3 linked regions of the Nothobranchius furzeri genome follow. The protein of the gene in region 1 purifies or fractionates together with the protein of each later gene. This does not show direct contact. Links are inferred from orthologs where the notes say so. Each region holds a gene or a part of one and is shown in the gene's direction. Other genes may lie near its edges.

Region 1 (5,249 bases):
CAAACCAAGGAGCCATTTGGCTACCTCTGGTAGAGCTGAGGGGGTCAGAAAATCCTGGTAGTTCTAGTGTTAAATGCCATCTTTCCTTCGTGCCGGCTCGAGGTCTTGTGCCTGTCGATGAGCTGGATATACAACTTCACTACGTTACCACGATAAAAACATTTAGTACATTCAGTAAGAAACAGGAATCTAATAACAAAACTGATAAGCTGTTAAAACCTAACAGAATCAAAAAAGAGATGCAACATATATTGGCTGAGTGGTGTTGGTAGTATGATGATGTCATTGGCAGGCGCAGGACCCCAAGCAGATCCGGAAACTAGCGCCTGAGAACTAGCATCAGCACTGCATTCTCTCGATGAAAATAACCGAAGGACCAGTAAAGTCTGAGGAGTCACACCAAGGTCACGTGCTTTCTGCTCCTCAGGTAACAACATTTACCGAAATGTCTTTTTTAAACTAGCGACAATCACGGTGATACAGTGTAAAACTATCCTGAAATGTATGTATGTACTGCCAGGAAACTACACACTGCCACTTTAAAAACGACTCTTCAATTCCAATTTTGAACATGACACTTCTGCTAAGATACGCTCTGAGGTGGAAACTGCCCAACAACTTGGAACATGGAGTTATCAACAAGGATGCAACTTCAGACACAACGCCATCTTGTTTTAACTTAAAAAAGTGACCTTAGGCTGAAAATGTGATTGTTATCGAGTATTTAATGTGTTGTATTGTTGATTAATGAGAAATTGTGCAGCATAGAAAAACAATGCGTGAAACGACGCATACATTTCTAGATTTTGATGTATATTTTTCAAATATACTAAAATGTTGGTAAAAGAAGATTGATTGCAAAATAATACATATTTTTATTAATATTAGACATGTGTGACATCGCCAACCACAATAGCTGACAACTCAATGGAAAAATCATCAACTTACAATGTGATTTTTTTAAACATAAAATAAATCAAATGCCCATTATAATGGGCTTATGTAAAGTCTAAGTATTTGTGACCTCTGAACTGTGAAGTCCGACTGAGCCAAAGAGCTCCAAAGGGTGCTGAATTTTCTCGTTTCTATATCTTGTTGCCTTGCAGGTTTTTGTGTGTTTGGACCATGTTGTTTGGTGTACTGCCATTAAAAGTCATAGCACACTGTTCCCAATGAAACCGCATGAATGGACGTATGATTGCCATGCTTTCGTTTGGACACTCTGTTTAGAGCTGCGTGGCACAAAAGCAAACTTAAATTGTGAAAGAAAAAGAAAACCCAAAGCACTATTTGGTTCATCTTTCTAAAATGCTAACACACACACACACACACACACACACACACACACACACACACACACACACACACACACACACACACACACACACACACACACACATTCTCCCATTTAACACACACACACACACACACACACTCACACACACACACACACACACACACACACACACACACACACACACACATTCTCCCATTTATTTTGAGAAGTAACATCTCCATCCTGGTGAAATATACCACCCGTATCCGAATTGTCTTCAGCACAGCCCCCTGTACCCCCTGTACCCTGCTGCACAGATGCCATGATAGAGAGACACACACTGACGCTGATGTTGCTACTACCCCGGTTTGCAGCAGAATACAAATTGTGCCCTCTGTTGGTCTTCTAACAGAGTACACCAGCAGTCAACATGTGCAGCTTCTCCTCATCGGACAGTTTACCTCTCACACGTAGATTGTTGACTTTTACAGCCGCTTATTCTCGTGTTTGGTAAAAAAAAAAAAAAAAAAAAAAAAAAAAAAAAAAAAGGGTTATTAAAGCTGATGCAAGCTGTGAGAGCATCCGCAGCAGCAAGCCAGTGGCAGAAGGGCTGCAGTTGTCATGGAAACGCCGGAGGAGGAGGAGGAACATTTTGGAGGGGGACCCGTTTGTTTTGTTATTGAAGGTCACGTGGCAATCCGAAGCTCCGCCCCTTCCCCCGTTACCACGGATTCAACCGTCTCGAGCTCCTGCTCCGGTCAGTTACTACAAAATGGCTGCAGAGGCTCCTCCGCCTGCGAGAACCGACTAAACGCTTCATGGTAGGATTTATTTGTCACTCTGGGCGGTAAAACGAGGAGAAAATAGCACGAATTTAGCCTTTAGCTTTGCGCTCAATGTGCATATCTGTGTCGGCTGGTAGGTCGTGAATATTTTCAGTTCACCCCTCTCTTGACACCAGTGTTGTTTTGGCCTCGGGAGCTCGGCTTGAACGAAGTTTTCGGTGTTTTATGGCTTCCGCGAATAGCTGTCGAGTTTAGGAGGCTGTTTGTGTTTGTAGGCGGCCGGAGCAGCGCTGCTGCTGCTGGGACTCAAGGGCGCCTGGAGTCGCTGCTGCTGGTCTGTTTCTTGTTGGCAGATTGGTGGGACGCTGCCGCTGCTCCACCGCTGCTGCTGGAGACTTGACATGGAGATGATTATTGCCGCTCATGTGCACACATTGTGCTGGAGCAGGATGCACCACTACCTGGCTGTTTAAATCCCCCCCAGTCTCTGCCACTGGGAGCGTTTGCCTCACGCTTTTCTGCGCTCTAGTCAACAGCACCTGTCACGTTTGAAACTCCGTGCACGTGCTTTAAATCTCATATTTCTGCTCGGATTTATTCCTGGAGAAGACAGTGTTGAAAATCTGGCTTGTCAGTTCTTTGTTTGCAGCATGTCAGCATTTAGAGACCTGTGTAATCTCTGAGATCCGATGCCTCCATCCTCTTCATCGCAGCATGTTCTGCAGTTTGGCATCAGGCTCACGCGCGCCCGTGCGTTTGTGTGTGTGCGCGTGTGCAGACTGGGAATGCCTGCGCCCTGATGCATGCAGAGGGGCAGACTGACGTAAGCTTTGATTCCTGCCTGGGTCACTAATGTGTTGGTGTTCCTAATTTTGTCCTGGAGGTGGTGGCGGTTATGAGAAGGGGTCATCAAGGTTTTTTTCATGGCCGAGTCGGGTCAAGGGGGGAGCCCTAGTGAGCACCCACGGCCCTGAAAGAGGCAGTTTCTATTCAGAGAGAGGCACCAAAGGGGGTTGATAACAAAACCAGACCGCTAAATGCTGTGATTATAATACAGCTTAGGTCATAGCTTCACTTTCAGCTCAGAACCCTCCATGACCTTTTGCTTAAAGTTGGACTGAAAGGCTAGAGGGCGTTACTTTTGTAAATTCTTTAAACTCAAATGAAATAAAAGTTCACTTAAAGGAGCAATGTGTACGAATTATACTGTACAATAATCACAAAACAGTATAATCTCTCAATCGCGCTGGAAGGAAGGCTATACTGAAACAGATTTATTTCTCAGTGGGCTCGGGGGGTATTCAGGTTTTCTCCTTTTGAATAAAATGAAGCGGGATGTAGTTAATGTTTACAATCAGTGAGTTTGTGAGGTTTTATTTGTCTCCGGCAAGCTAAAGCTCCAGTTCTGGCATTTGTAATTTGACACCGGCCGACAAAAAGCTCCAGAGTTGTTTAAAGAACCGAAGCCGGTAAACAGGAGTGACCCAGAAGTTATTTCTTATACCCCTAAGAAGCCACGGCATCTTTTTGTTTTTCTCTATCTGTGAAGCAGGCTAGAGGCTAACATTAAGCTACCAAGGCTAACAGTGAATTAGGGCAAATAGTCAGTTCTAAAAATATCTCAAACTTCTTTTTTAATCACCAAAACCTCAATATTACAGTGAAATGTATGAGTGAAGTGAATAATGAGTCAGTCGTTACTTCCTTTAATGTTCGTAACTTGTTTTCGTACAAGTTTAAATTGTACATTTTGTCTTGTATATTTGTGTGATGTTTGCTGCAGGACTCCCTTGAAAAAGAAGTTTTAAATCTCAGTGGGACTTTTTTCCTGGGTAAATAAAGGTTAAATAAAAAAATAAAAATAAAAACAAGATGCCAAATGACCACAATTCCTCTAATGCTGGAGAAACATTACTTTAATAAGTGTAGTAAATGCTCCATGCTATGGCTGGGATGATAATCAATAAATCAATTAATCATACGATAGATGAAAATTAACTGAATAATTTTCCCAGCCTCAATATATCGAGGTAAAAAAAATGTACAACTCTATTATTATTATTATTATTTTTAAAATCATTATTATTATTTATTATCATTGAAGTGCAGTTTGGTTGTTTTGGAGAGACGGGGTCTATTTTATTGTTTTTTGCACAATATTTTCTAACAGAGTGAGAGTCCTTTTTAATTTATTTATTTATTGTTTGTTTGTTTTTATTTATTTGTTTAGAGGTTCTGGACATTCCAATGTTAAATAAAAGTTTAATTGTTGCATTTTAAAGCGTGTACTTGCATTATTATGATATTAATATTACGTAAGTGGTTATTTTGGTCTTGATAATGTCGACAATAATATCGTTTATCATCAATAATTTATTGGACAATATATCGTCCAGCAAAATGTATCGTCCCAAGTCTACTCCGTACCGTAAAATTACTAGAGTGCCAACATCAGATATAACAATGTATTTATCTACTTGTTAACTTACTGTGTATGACTCGTCATTGTTAACGTCGTTTGAATATAACAGCGTCACTAACAGCATTCTTTTTTGGGTAACGGAATAATCTAATCAATTACTTTTCCCACTGTTGCAACGCCGTTACCGTTACTGGGGATGGAAGGTTGTGCGTTACTATGTGCTTGTCGAACGTTGAGCAACAGTGTGAGGCTTTCTGACCGCCACACTTCAGCTGCAGCCAGGGAGAGAGAGGTGTCGGTAACGCACTAACAAACACGATGATGATTGGCCGGGTGGGCGGAGACCCTCAGTGTTCTCACTGTCTCAGTCGCTGCCTGCTGTAGACCCAACAGAGCAGTGATGGGAATAATGCCATTTAAAATAACCACGTTAATAAAAAAAAATATTCTTTCTGTAACGAACAAACTAATTAATTACCGTCTTCTTTTAACAAAACGATAGTTTCTGTTACTGATAAGGAAATGCGTGCGTTAAGCAGCGCAGTGTGTTGAAGCTGTCATCAGCTAATGAGGAGCTAAAGAGGCAGATGTTTTCATCCAAGCGCATCTCGGCCCGTGAAGAACGAGGAAGACGTGATGAATTCGTTGCTGCAGCAGCGGATCTGCTGGTCTGCAGCCGTGCCCTTCTTAGAGTGACGTCCCGAAGGTCCGCTCACCTGTTCACCGCTCGGACGTCCTGATCTTCTACCTTCCTAGATCATCCAGC
Region 2 (4,788 bases), on another chromosome or scaffold:
GTTTAAACACCAAAACCCTAAATAACCATTGATGTTTTCAAAGGTCGAGGAGCTGAAGGAGACTGTGAAAGAAGAGTTCATGCCATGGGTGTCTCAGTACCTGGTGATGAAGCGCGTCAGCATTGAGCCCAACTTCCACAGCCTCTACTCCAACTTTCTGGACACTTTGAAGAACCCAGAGTTTGTCAAGATGGTTCTCAATGAAACTTACAGAAACATTAAGGTAATGAACGAGAAACAAACTTTTAAGGCATCCTTTTATCTCATTTTGGTTTGTACTTTGTTTTTTTTTACTGTTTTAACAGACAGTTCTGTGAAAATGATGATGGTATGTATGTATAGGGCATCCAGGTATGAGCAGACATTTATAACGTGTGTCCCTGACAGGTGCTTCTGACGTCAGACAAGGCAGCTGCTAACTTCTCTGATCGCTCGTTGCTGAAGAACCTGGGTCACTGGTTGGGCATGATCACGCTGGCCAAAAACAAGCCGATCCTTTATACAGTAAGAATAGGCTTTAAGCTTGTTGGTCATCATGTAAAATGGTGTGTGTGTGTTTTTTGGGGGGGTCTATAATTATACTAAACACGTACTTCTCAGGATCTGGAGCTCAAATCCCTGCTCCTGGAGGCCTACGTGAAAGGCCAGCAGGAGCTGCTGTATGTTGTTCCGTTTGTGGCCAAAGTCTTGGAGTCCAGTCTACGTAGCATGGTGAGAAACCGACACCGGGTCCTGCTTGTAGGCTGAACACAGATGATTCATTCATTCCTACTAAAGACCACTGCAAATGTATTGATTTAACGAGTGTCCCGCACCTTTAACCTCCTGTTTGTGCTTCTGTGACGCTGCAGGTTTTCAGACCTCAGAATCCATGGACCATGGCCATCATGAATGTTCTAGCTGAGCTTCATCAGGAACACGACCTCAAGGTAACAGATTACCTTCTTTCACTTTCATGAGAAATCAAACTGATAAAGTTTTCAACTTCTGGAAGTTAATAAAAACCAAGAACTGAGCAAATAGAAGCCAGTTATTTTTTTCTTTTTTTTTCTTTTTGCTGCATTAAGAACTGAACATTTTTATTTTTGTCCAAATTTTATCCAGAATAAAGAAGCATCTGAAGTATTTGTGACATGTTCTGTTTTTTTTTCACTGTAGTTGAATTTAAAGTTTGAGATTGAAGTTCTGTGTAAGAACTTGTCTCTGGACATCAATGAGCTGAAGCCAGGAAACCTGCTGAAGGACAAAGACAAGCTGAAGAACCTGGAGGAGCAGCTGTCGGCGCCAAAGAAAGAAGCCAAGCCTCCGGAGGAGATGTTACCCGTCTCTACCGCAGGTGATTTCTCCATTTATTCACATGTTGTTTCTGCACGGAGCCATGCTTTAGAGCTCATCTTATATCTGCAGCAGCTCTTCCTCTGAAAACAAAGTTAACCTGTTCAGCTTTCATCTTTTATGTTGGAAATTGTTTCATGTCTACTTTTTACACCACAGTACATTTTTTGTCTGAATTGAATGCTTTTCTTTGTGATTTTAATGAAACGAGTGTTTTGTGATCAACAGGAGACTTTGTTCCATTTTCAGCTCCTCCCTCCACCCCGGCTGCTACCACCACCACCTGCACAACCACAGGCCCCCCCACACCACAGTTCAGTTATCATGACATCAACGTGTATTCCCTGGCAGGCCTGGGGCCGCACATCAATATAAACATCAACGTAAGATTAAAAGCCTGTAAACGCCGTTGGTTTCAGCAGATGAGCTCATAATTCCATAGATAATAAAGCAAAACAGATATTGTGTGTTTGGGAGAACTGATCAGAACAATTAAGTGACAAGATGCCGCATGAACAGTAGGATACATCTCTGTTGGTGTTTGTGTGGTCTTTACTTTTTAAGACTCAGATTAAATCTGACCATTTCTGTCCTGCTCCCTTCCCGGCAGATCCCTCTGCTGCAGGCTCATCCTCAGCTCAAACAGTGCGTGCGGCAGTCAGTGGAGCGGGCGGTCCAGGAGCTGGTGCACCCTGTGGTGGATCGTTCCATCAAGATTGCCATGACAACTTGTGAGCAGATCATTAGAAAGGACTTTGCCCTGGACTCAGAGGAGTCCCGCATGCGTGTGGCTGCTCATCACATGATGAGAAACCTGACAGCTGGCATGGCCATGATCACCTGCCGGGAGCCCCTGCTCATGAGTATCGCCACCAATCTGAAGAACAGCTTTGCGGCTGCGCTGAGAGTGAGTTCAGCTCTTCTTACCACGTGTTTGTTAGTGGGTGAGCTTTCTTTCCGTGACCAGGCTGATGACTTTTATCTTTGACCTTCTCTCAGGCACCAACCCCGCAGCAGAGAGAGATGATGGAAGAGGCTGCTGCCAGGATCGCACAAGACAACTGTGAATTAGCTTGTTGCTTCATTCAGAAAACCGCCGTGGAGAAAGCTGGCCCTGAAATGGACAAGAGACTAGCCACGGTGAGCTGATACCCTGAGTGTGTGTGGACGTACATGTGGTTTATCAAGCTCTTTATTGTGCAAAACGTTTGTTTTAATAATAAATGTAAGTTTTTAAAGTCAGAGTGTGTTCTCTGCTCCAGGAGTTTGAACTGAGGAAGCATGCTCGCCAAGAGGGCCGTCGTTACTGTGATCCTGTTGTTCTGACTTATCAGGCTGAACGAATGCCTGAACAGATCAGGCTGAAGGTAAAACACGCGTGTGCCACATCAGCAGCGCCTCTTCTGTTTGTTTCTGTTCATATCTGACTAAAGACTCAGTCAGCTGTCAAGGTGTTCTTTACCTGTTGAGTAACCGCTTACTGTTGCAGGTGGGAGGAGTGGATCCCAAGCAGCTGGCGGTTTATGAGGAATTTGCCAGGAATATTCCAGGTTTCCTACCAAGCAATGATCTCTCACAACCCACAGGCTTCTTGGCTCAGCCCATGAAGGTGAATTTATCTCCTGTGACCATCCCAAAGCAAAACGTAAGAACTAAAATGATGAAAGAAAGGAACGCTTTAAAGGTGTCTGCATGCTTAATAAGATTGTTTCTGTCCTTTGCACCAGACTTGACCGTAACCTCGTAGAGTAGCTACATTGATACTAAAACATTCAACAATTAAATGAATATTTTGTGACTGAATTCTTGATTTTAACCCATAGTTTTGGTTGCGTGTTTGTTTTGCAGAACCAAGTGTGGGCCACAGACGACGTGGCTCAGATCTATGATAAATGCATCACCGACTTGGAGCAGCATCTTCATGCTATCCCTCCAGCACTGGCCATGAATCCTCTGACACAGGGTCTGCGTAGTTTACTGGAAGCTGTGGCTTTAGCCAGGAACTCCAGGGATGGGATCGCTGCTCTTGGCCTCCTGCAGAAGGTAGGACACTCAGACCGAAAATTACAGGGAAGCTTCTGGATGGAGGATGAACTCTTAAGCTGATTGTCAAGTTTCTCTGAATGTTTCAGGCTGTGGAAGGCCTCCTGGACGCTACGACAGGGGCTGATGCTGACTTGCTGCTTCACTACAGGGAGTGCCACCTGCTGGTGCTGAAGTCCCTGCAGGATGGGCGTGCATACGGACCACAGTGGTGCAATAAGCAGATCACCAGGTTAATATACTCGCATGTTGTATGGAGATGTTACTAACCCGATAACCCTCCACTCTTAGAGCTCCACATGGATTTGTTAAATCTAAATGACTTACTGAGTTTAAGTTTGTTTCTGTGTGGGAAGGTGTCTGATTGAATGTCGGGATGAGTACAAGTACAACGTGGAGGCAGTGGAGCTTCTGATCAGGAACCACCTAGTAAACATGCAGCAGTACGACGTGCACCTGGCACAGGTAGGCTGTGTGTGTCTCTCTCTCTCTCTCTCTCTCGCTCTCGCTCTCTCTCTCTCTCACATACACACACACATATGGTGCTTTTGTGTGTTTCTTCCCAGTCGATGGAGAACGGGTTGCACTACATGGCCGTGGCTTTTGCCATGCAGCTTGTGAAGCAGCTGCTGGTGGATGAGCGCAGCGTGAGCCATGTGACCGAAGCTGACCTCTTCCAAACTATTGAGACCTTAATGAGGACCTGTGCACACTCCAGAGCCAACGCACCTGAAGGGTAAACATCTGGTTTGGTTGCTCTGTGAACATTTCTGCTCTCACCCATTTTTAGCTGTTGGAAGTGAATGTTTTTGAAAGTGAAACCAACCAGATGATGGTTGTGGACGTTCCCGGTGTGAACGTCTCCTCAGAGTCGTCACTTATGAATGAGGAAAAAGACCTGATAAGAATCCAGGGTTTAACCCACACACTATCCTGTCTGGCATTTAAGATTAGTTAGTTTTTAAAACACCTTTAGGGTTTCTCTCATTGTTCCTTTTTATGTCCTTGTTACAAACCACAGTATGATGTGCTGATGTCTGGTGCTTTCACCGTGAGCTGTTTGATCGCATTTCAATAGATTCGGACTCTTGAATCGATCGTCCTGCTTCCTGGTGAAGGTACACGTTACCCCATTAACCCCCGCTGCTCCCCGTTCACAGGCTTCCCCAGCTGATGGATGTGGTTCGCTCCAACTATGAAGCCATGATAGATCGTGCTCATGGTGGCCCCAACTTCATGATGCACTCTGGGATTTCACAGGCTTCAGAATACGATGATCCACCGGGCCTGAGGGAGAAGGCAGAGTACCTTCTGAGAGAATGGGTCAACCTGTATCACTCAGCTGCTGCTGGGAGGGACAGCACCAAGGCTTTCTCTGCTTTTGTTGGCCAGGTTAACTCATTTATTTCA
Region 3 (4,788 bases), on another chromosome or scaffold:
ACTTTTGAAAAGTTTTTAACTTACCCGGACACAGAGCTCTCTCCTTCCTCGCTGATGATTCCGACATGCTTGTGTTTAAGATGCTGCATCATCACCGTAGTATCCCCGGGCCATGCTGTCTGACCTACAAACGTTGCATGTCTTCGCCTGATTTAACTGAAAATGCTCCCAAACTTTAGAAGTTTTTACTTTTTTGGGGTATTGCTGCTTCCGCCATGTTCCTCTTACAAACACCTGCCGGCTCTCCACCGGTCTGCGCGCAACGGCGGGCAGGAGGGGAGGGGGCTTTTGGAAGAGTTGCGCAACACAACGAATCGATGACGCAATTCGTTGCCAACGCTTTTAGTAATCGATTTTCATCGAATTTATCGATTCGTTGTTGCAGCCCTGTGTGTGTGTGTGTGTGTGTGTGTGTGTGTGTGTGTGTGTGTGTTTTATATATGTTAATACAGATGTGAAGTTAATTCATGTAAATAAATGCCGTAATCGTGAAACCGTGATTATTTCTCAGACTACAATCAAGCACCAATATTTAGTTGCAACCCTAATTTGAAGATGATTACAATGTAAAGGTTAATACAATGTTAGATGAACTGCTGATGTATTTTAAATGACTAGAAGTGTTTAAATATGGCAGAAATGAGCCTTTTTAGCAGTGATAAAAATGTCTTTTAATTGTAATTTGCTCCAAATGTGGAGCCAGTTCTCTGTTTTCACCACCAACGCACCGGCTTCACTCCCAAAATGTTGTGCTTCAGGAGCAGAGTCTGCAACGCCAGAGCCACGAGCTGTAGATGTGTGTGTGTGTGTTTGTGTGTGTGTGCGCGCGCGTGTTCATGTGAGTTTTATGGATTCCAAACCAACTTTTAAAGTCTAAAACAACTTTGGTTGAAAAGCAGGAATGTTCACTTATTTTAGTTGTATGGCAGCTGTTGCTGTGGAAACGGAACAAAGCGTGTGTGTGTGTGTCTGTGTGTGTGTGGGTGTTGGGTGGGTCAGGAGCGTAGCTATGTGGGGCATTTCCTTGAGACCGCTTTTGTGTTGCCCCAAGTGCTTAAAGTCTCCGTCTACTTCTGAGTTCTTCTGATTCTGTCTTTGTCTTAATTTCCCGCTCTTTGTAAATCAGTTGGCCACCCCCTTGGCCTCATGTCTGTGTCTGAGAGGAACTTCAAAATGTTTATAAACCACTTACTGTATTATCGTGTAGCTGAATCTACGTATAATACGCCTGTTTTTTAACAAACCCTGCGCCGGAGATTCTGGTATTGGGGTGTAATTACCGAGATGAGAGCTTTTAAATGTCTTTACATCTCTACGTGAGTAGAGATGAAAGCTTGTGACATGGGAGGACAACTCGAAATGACTTTTTTTAAATGCAAGACTTCTGATGAAGATCAAAGAGTAAGTCATTAAAGATAATTAAGTGATAATTTAGCAGTAAAGTTCTCATCCTATTCATAATAATGCATCATCATTTGGGGGGATTTATGCTATAGCTTAGGCTCATTACTAGAGGATAATTCCTTCATGTTCGGATACGTTGAGGTTGTCTTTTTGAACACAGAAATGATTCTGGATTTTTGTCTCATTTTCCAGTCTCTGCCACAGCCTTCTATAAAGCCCAGCCTGTGATCCAGTTCATGTGTGAAGTCCTGGATATCCACAACATCGACGAGCAGCCGCGGCCTCTCACAGACTCTCACCGGGTCAAATTCACCAAAGAAATCAAAGGTGAAGCAGAAGGTGTAGCGTCTGCCTGCTCCTGGGCTCTACCTCCGGTTTAAGCGTGTGTGTGTGTGCGTGCGTGTGTGTGTGTGGGGGGGGGGCATTTTGGGTTGGATTAGCCTGAGCACATGGCAACAGCAATTCAAGAAGATATGTGTTCCTTCCAACACGTTTCATGCTGTTTCCCAGGTTTAAAGGTGGAGGTGACACACTGTGGAACAATGAGGAGGAAATATCGAGTTTGCAACGTGACCCGGCGGCCTGCCAGCCATCAAACGTGAGTCAGCCCTCTTGGCGTGCGAGGGAACAGACTTGGGGCTGTGCGTGTAATTTAGGGGCACACATGTAATCCCCATCACCACTAAAGATAATTGCCTACTCATCTAACAGTTATGCAGCCAATGTTAGTCATCTGTTACTGGAATGTTCTGCTGCTGCTGGTGTCTTTATTCATTCACGTATAATATAGTCAACATTAAAGGGGCATTATGGAAGTTTGACAGCCAAAACATGTATAGAAATAATAAATTTCTTCTTCATACATTCTCCTGCAGTGCCCTGGTCCTGTAGAATGAGCCCTGGCATTTTTACTGTGATTGCCTGTTTTTCTGTAAAATCACAGAAAAAGAGAGATGCTCGGGTCGAGCAGCTCTCTTTTTCTGTAAAATCACAGAAAAAGAGAGATGCTCGGGTCGAGCAGGCTGCTTCATGCTCGTTCACGCTCAGGCATAGCCCGTAGCATTTGCTATCAGTAGCTTTAGCAGCAGAGAGAGAGGTAGTGCCAACTCAGCGACTTTGTCGCTGTTCCTAACGCCTAGTGATGAACCTAGCTACATTTCTGAGGACCCTTAGCTACTTTCTGTAGAACTTTCTTCTAGATATTTCCTGCAAATTAGCAACAAAATAGCCATTTTCGCTTTGAACCGTTCTTTGGTTTGACGTTGTTTCAGGTGTTATCAAGGATATAGAAGTTACAGATACTATGAATGTTACTGGTGTGTAGCTCACCTTGTAAGATGTCTGACTCTCATGCAGAAGACCTGGGTTCGATTCTGGGTGTGAACATAGTTCATTTAGAGTTTCTTTTTTACATTAATGGTTTTTTTTTTTTTTACAATAAGATGCCCAAATTTTTATTTGATACTTGCCGAACGGCATTGAATTCACAGATAAAAAAGACGTGGGTTCAACTTTCATTTTGGAGCAATTTTTCAAGCAAGGGAAGGGAATGATCTGAGCATGCAGGAGGACTGACCCATCTTAAACCTTAGTCGGCTGTGCTGAAGAGAAAGGTACAGAACCAAATTATTTCATTAGCTGCTCATTCTCCTGTCCTCTGGGACACACACACACACACACACACACACACACACACACACACACACACACACACACACACACACACACACACACAAGGTACTGTTTCAGCTGTTATTTTCGTTGAGTGTGCATGTTCAGCATGCGCGCCTCGTGCACGAGCCTACTACTGAAGCTGCCGTTACGCTTTTGGCCTGAGGGGGCGATCGCGAGCATAAAAATTCAAAAGTCCGAAAAGTCCCTTTAACAACATAAAAATTATCATTACTCGGCCCGTTCTACAGATAGTGACCTAAAATGTGGCGTCCTATTAGATAAAGGTAATCTCAAACAATAAATTGGGAGATCAGTCATGGTTTTATTTAAAAGAACTCTTAAACGGCCAAAGTCTTTTAACATAAGATGCTTTAAAGCTCTGATCTGAAATGAGGGACATGCTATGAGCGTTCTTTAAAGGAGTTCTGCGTTGTTTGTCAAGTCCAGCTTAGAATTTATTTTTATATTTATTCATTATTTTCTCATTTCAGGTTCCCTCTACAGCTGGAGAATGGCCAGACTGTAGAACGTACAGTAGCCCAGTATTTCAGGGAGAAGTACACCCTGCAGCTCAAGTACCCACATTTGCCCTGTCTACAGGTGGGCCAGGAGCAGAAACACACCTACCTGCCTCTGGAGGTGAGAGAAAACGAGCTTTGATGTCATCTGACATTAACCTTTAAACAAAGTCAGTTTCACTGTAATGAAGATGGGATTGTTTCTGTGTGACCTGTTGCTAAGTAATAAAATAAAATCCATTTTTTAATTTTATTTATTTATTGTTTGTTTTTTTGCAGGTTTGTAACATCGTAGCTGGTCAACGGTGCATTAAGAAGCTGACAGATAATCAGACCTCCACTATGATTAAAGCCACAGCTCGCTCTGCACCCGACCGGCAGGAGGAGATCAGCAGGCTGGTGAGTTTTCAGCTGCATTGTTTTTCAACACAATAGAAGCATTTTTTTAAATATAAAAACTAGAAAGTTCATAAAAAAAAAGCAAAATCTACAGAAAGATGAGCGCTAAAACAGAAGAGCATAAATGCAAAGATAAAGCTGAATAAAATGAGTAAAAGCCTGAAATTTTATGGGGCAAATTTCATTACAAACAATTTTTAACTGGTTTTTAAAAGAATCAACATAATTAGGGCAATGCAAAGTTGAGAATATAATATTTGAAGGTAGTAGCATTTATTTTCTTATATAATCACCTAATGTGTCTCTAATTTTCTGTTATTACCAGAGGCATGTCTGCGTGTGTTTACATTGCATTTGGTAATGACTTTTCAGATCTGCACAAAGACCGAAAAATAAACCATAATGAAAATATCAGACCAAATGACTTTAAATAATAATAATTGTGGTCCTCTGGCCTCAGTTAGCATTTAGCTTATTAAACCGCATCCCTCTAGCTGCTTTCTAAAACAGAAAATGATTGGAGCACACTACAGCACATGTAGCAGACTGTTTTCATGCACCGCTGGCTGGGAACTGACAGCACCAACCAATAAGCTTGGATTCTCTGAACTCAATAAAAAAAATCTTTATTACATTCCCACATCATGTGAGAGGCTGAATTGGGTCACTTTCCTTATCTTTTCCTTAACAAATCTAAAGTGATAAAAATCAACCGCCTATACCGGGTGACAATGAATTTTCTTCTAGATTTGGTTAGAGGAAGTAGATTTGTGTATACAAATACACACTTATT

The links. The genes of interacting proteins can lie anywhere in the genome.
Region 2: the proteins of tnrc6c1 (region 1) and cnot1 purify together in Homo sapiens (co-immunoprecipitation; 4 studies listed by BioGRID and IntAct, with this or other methods). This does not show direct contact. The link is inferred for Nothobranchius furzeri from reciprocal best matches to the Homo sapiens genes TNRC6C and CNOT1.
Region 3: the proteins of tnrc6c1 (region 1) and ago3a purify together in Homo sapiens (affinity purification with mass spectrometry; 3 studies listed by BioGRID and IntAct, with this or other methods). This does not show direct contact. The link is inferred for Nothobranchius furzeri from reciprocal best matches to the Homo sapiens genes TNRC6C and AGO3.

Annotation. Positions count from the first base shown.
Region 1 is NC_091752.1:54,019,798-54,025,046, reverse strand, and holds the start of tnrc6c1 (trinucleotide repeat-containing gene 6C protein), read left to right. Parts: upstream 1-1,978; 5' UTR 1,979-2,097; intron 2,098-5,249. UniProt on the Homo sapiens protein: Plays a role in RNA-mediated gene silencing by micro-RNAs (miRNAs). Required for miRNA-dependent translational repression of complementary mRNAs by argonaute family proteins.
Region 2 is NC_091744.1:81,587,469-81,592,256, forward strand, and holds part of cnot1 (CCR4-NOT transcription complex subunit 1), read left to right. Parts: intron 1-43; coding exon 44-223; intron 224-387; coding exon 388-504; intron 505-600; coding exon 601-711; intron 712-851; coding exon 852-929; intron 930-1,158; coding exon 1,159-1,336; intron 1,337-1,563; coding exon 1,564-1,718; intron 1,719-1,945; coding exon 1,946-2,242; intron 2,243-2,334; coding exon 2,335-2,475; intron 2,476-2,597; coding exon 2,598-2,702; intron 2,703-2,824; coding exon 2,825-2,980; intron 2,981-3,183; coding exon 3,184-3,378; intron 3,379-3,467; coding exon 3,468-3,610; intron 3,611-3,734; coding exon 3,735-3,843; intron 3,844-3,944; coding exon 3,945-4,114; intron 4,115-4,538; coding exon 4,539-4,770; intron 4,771-4,788.
Region 3 is NC_091745.1:69,139,765-69,144,552, reverse strand, and holds part of ago3a (protein argonaute-3), read left to right. Parts: intron 1-1,596; coding exon 1,597-1,731; intron 1,732-1,914; coding exon 1,915-2,002; intron 2,003-3,569; coding exon 3,570-3,717; intron 3,718-3,875; coding exon 3,876-3,995; intron 3,996-4,788.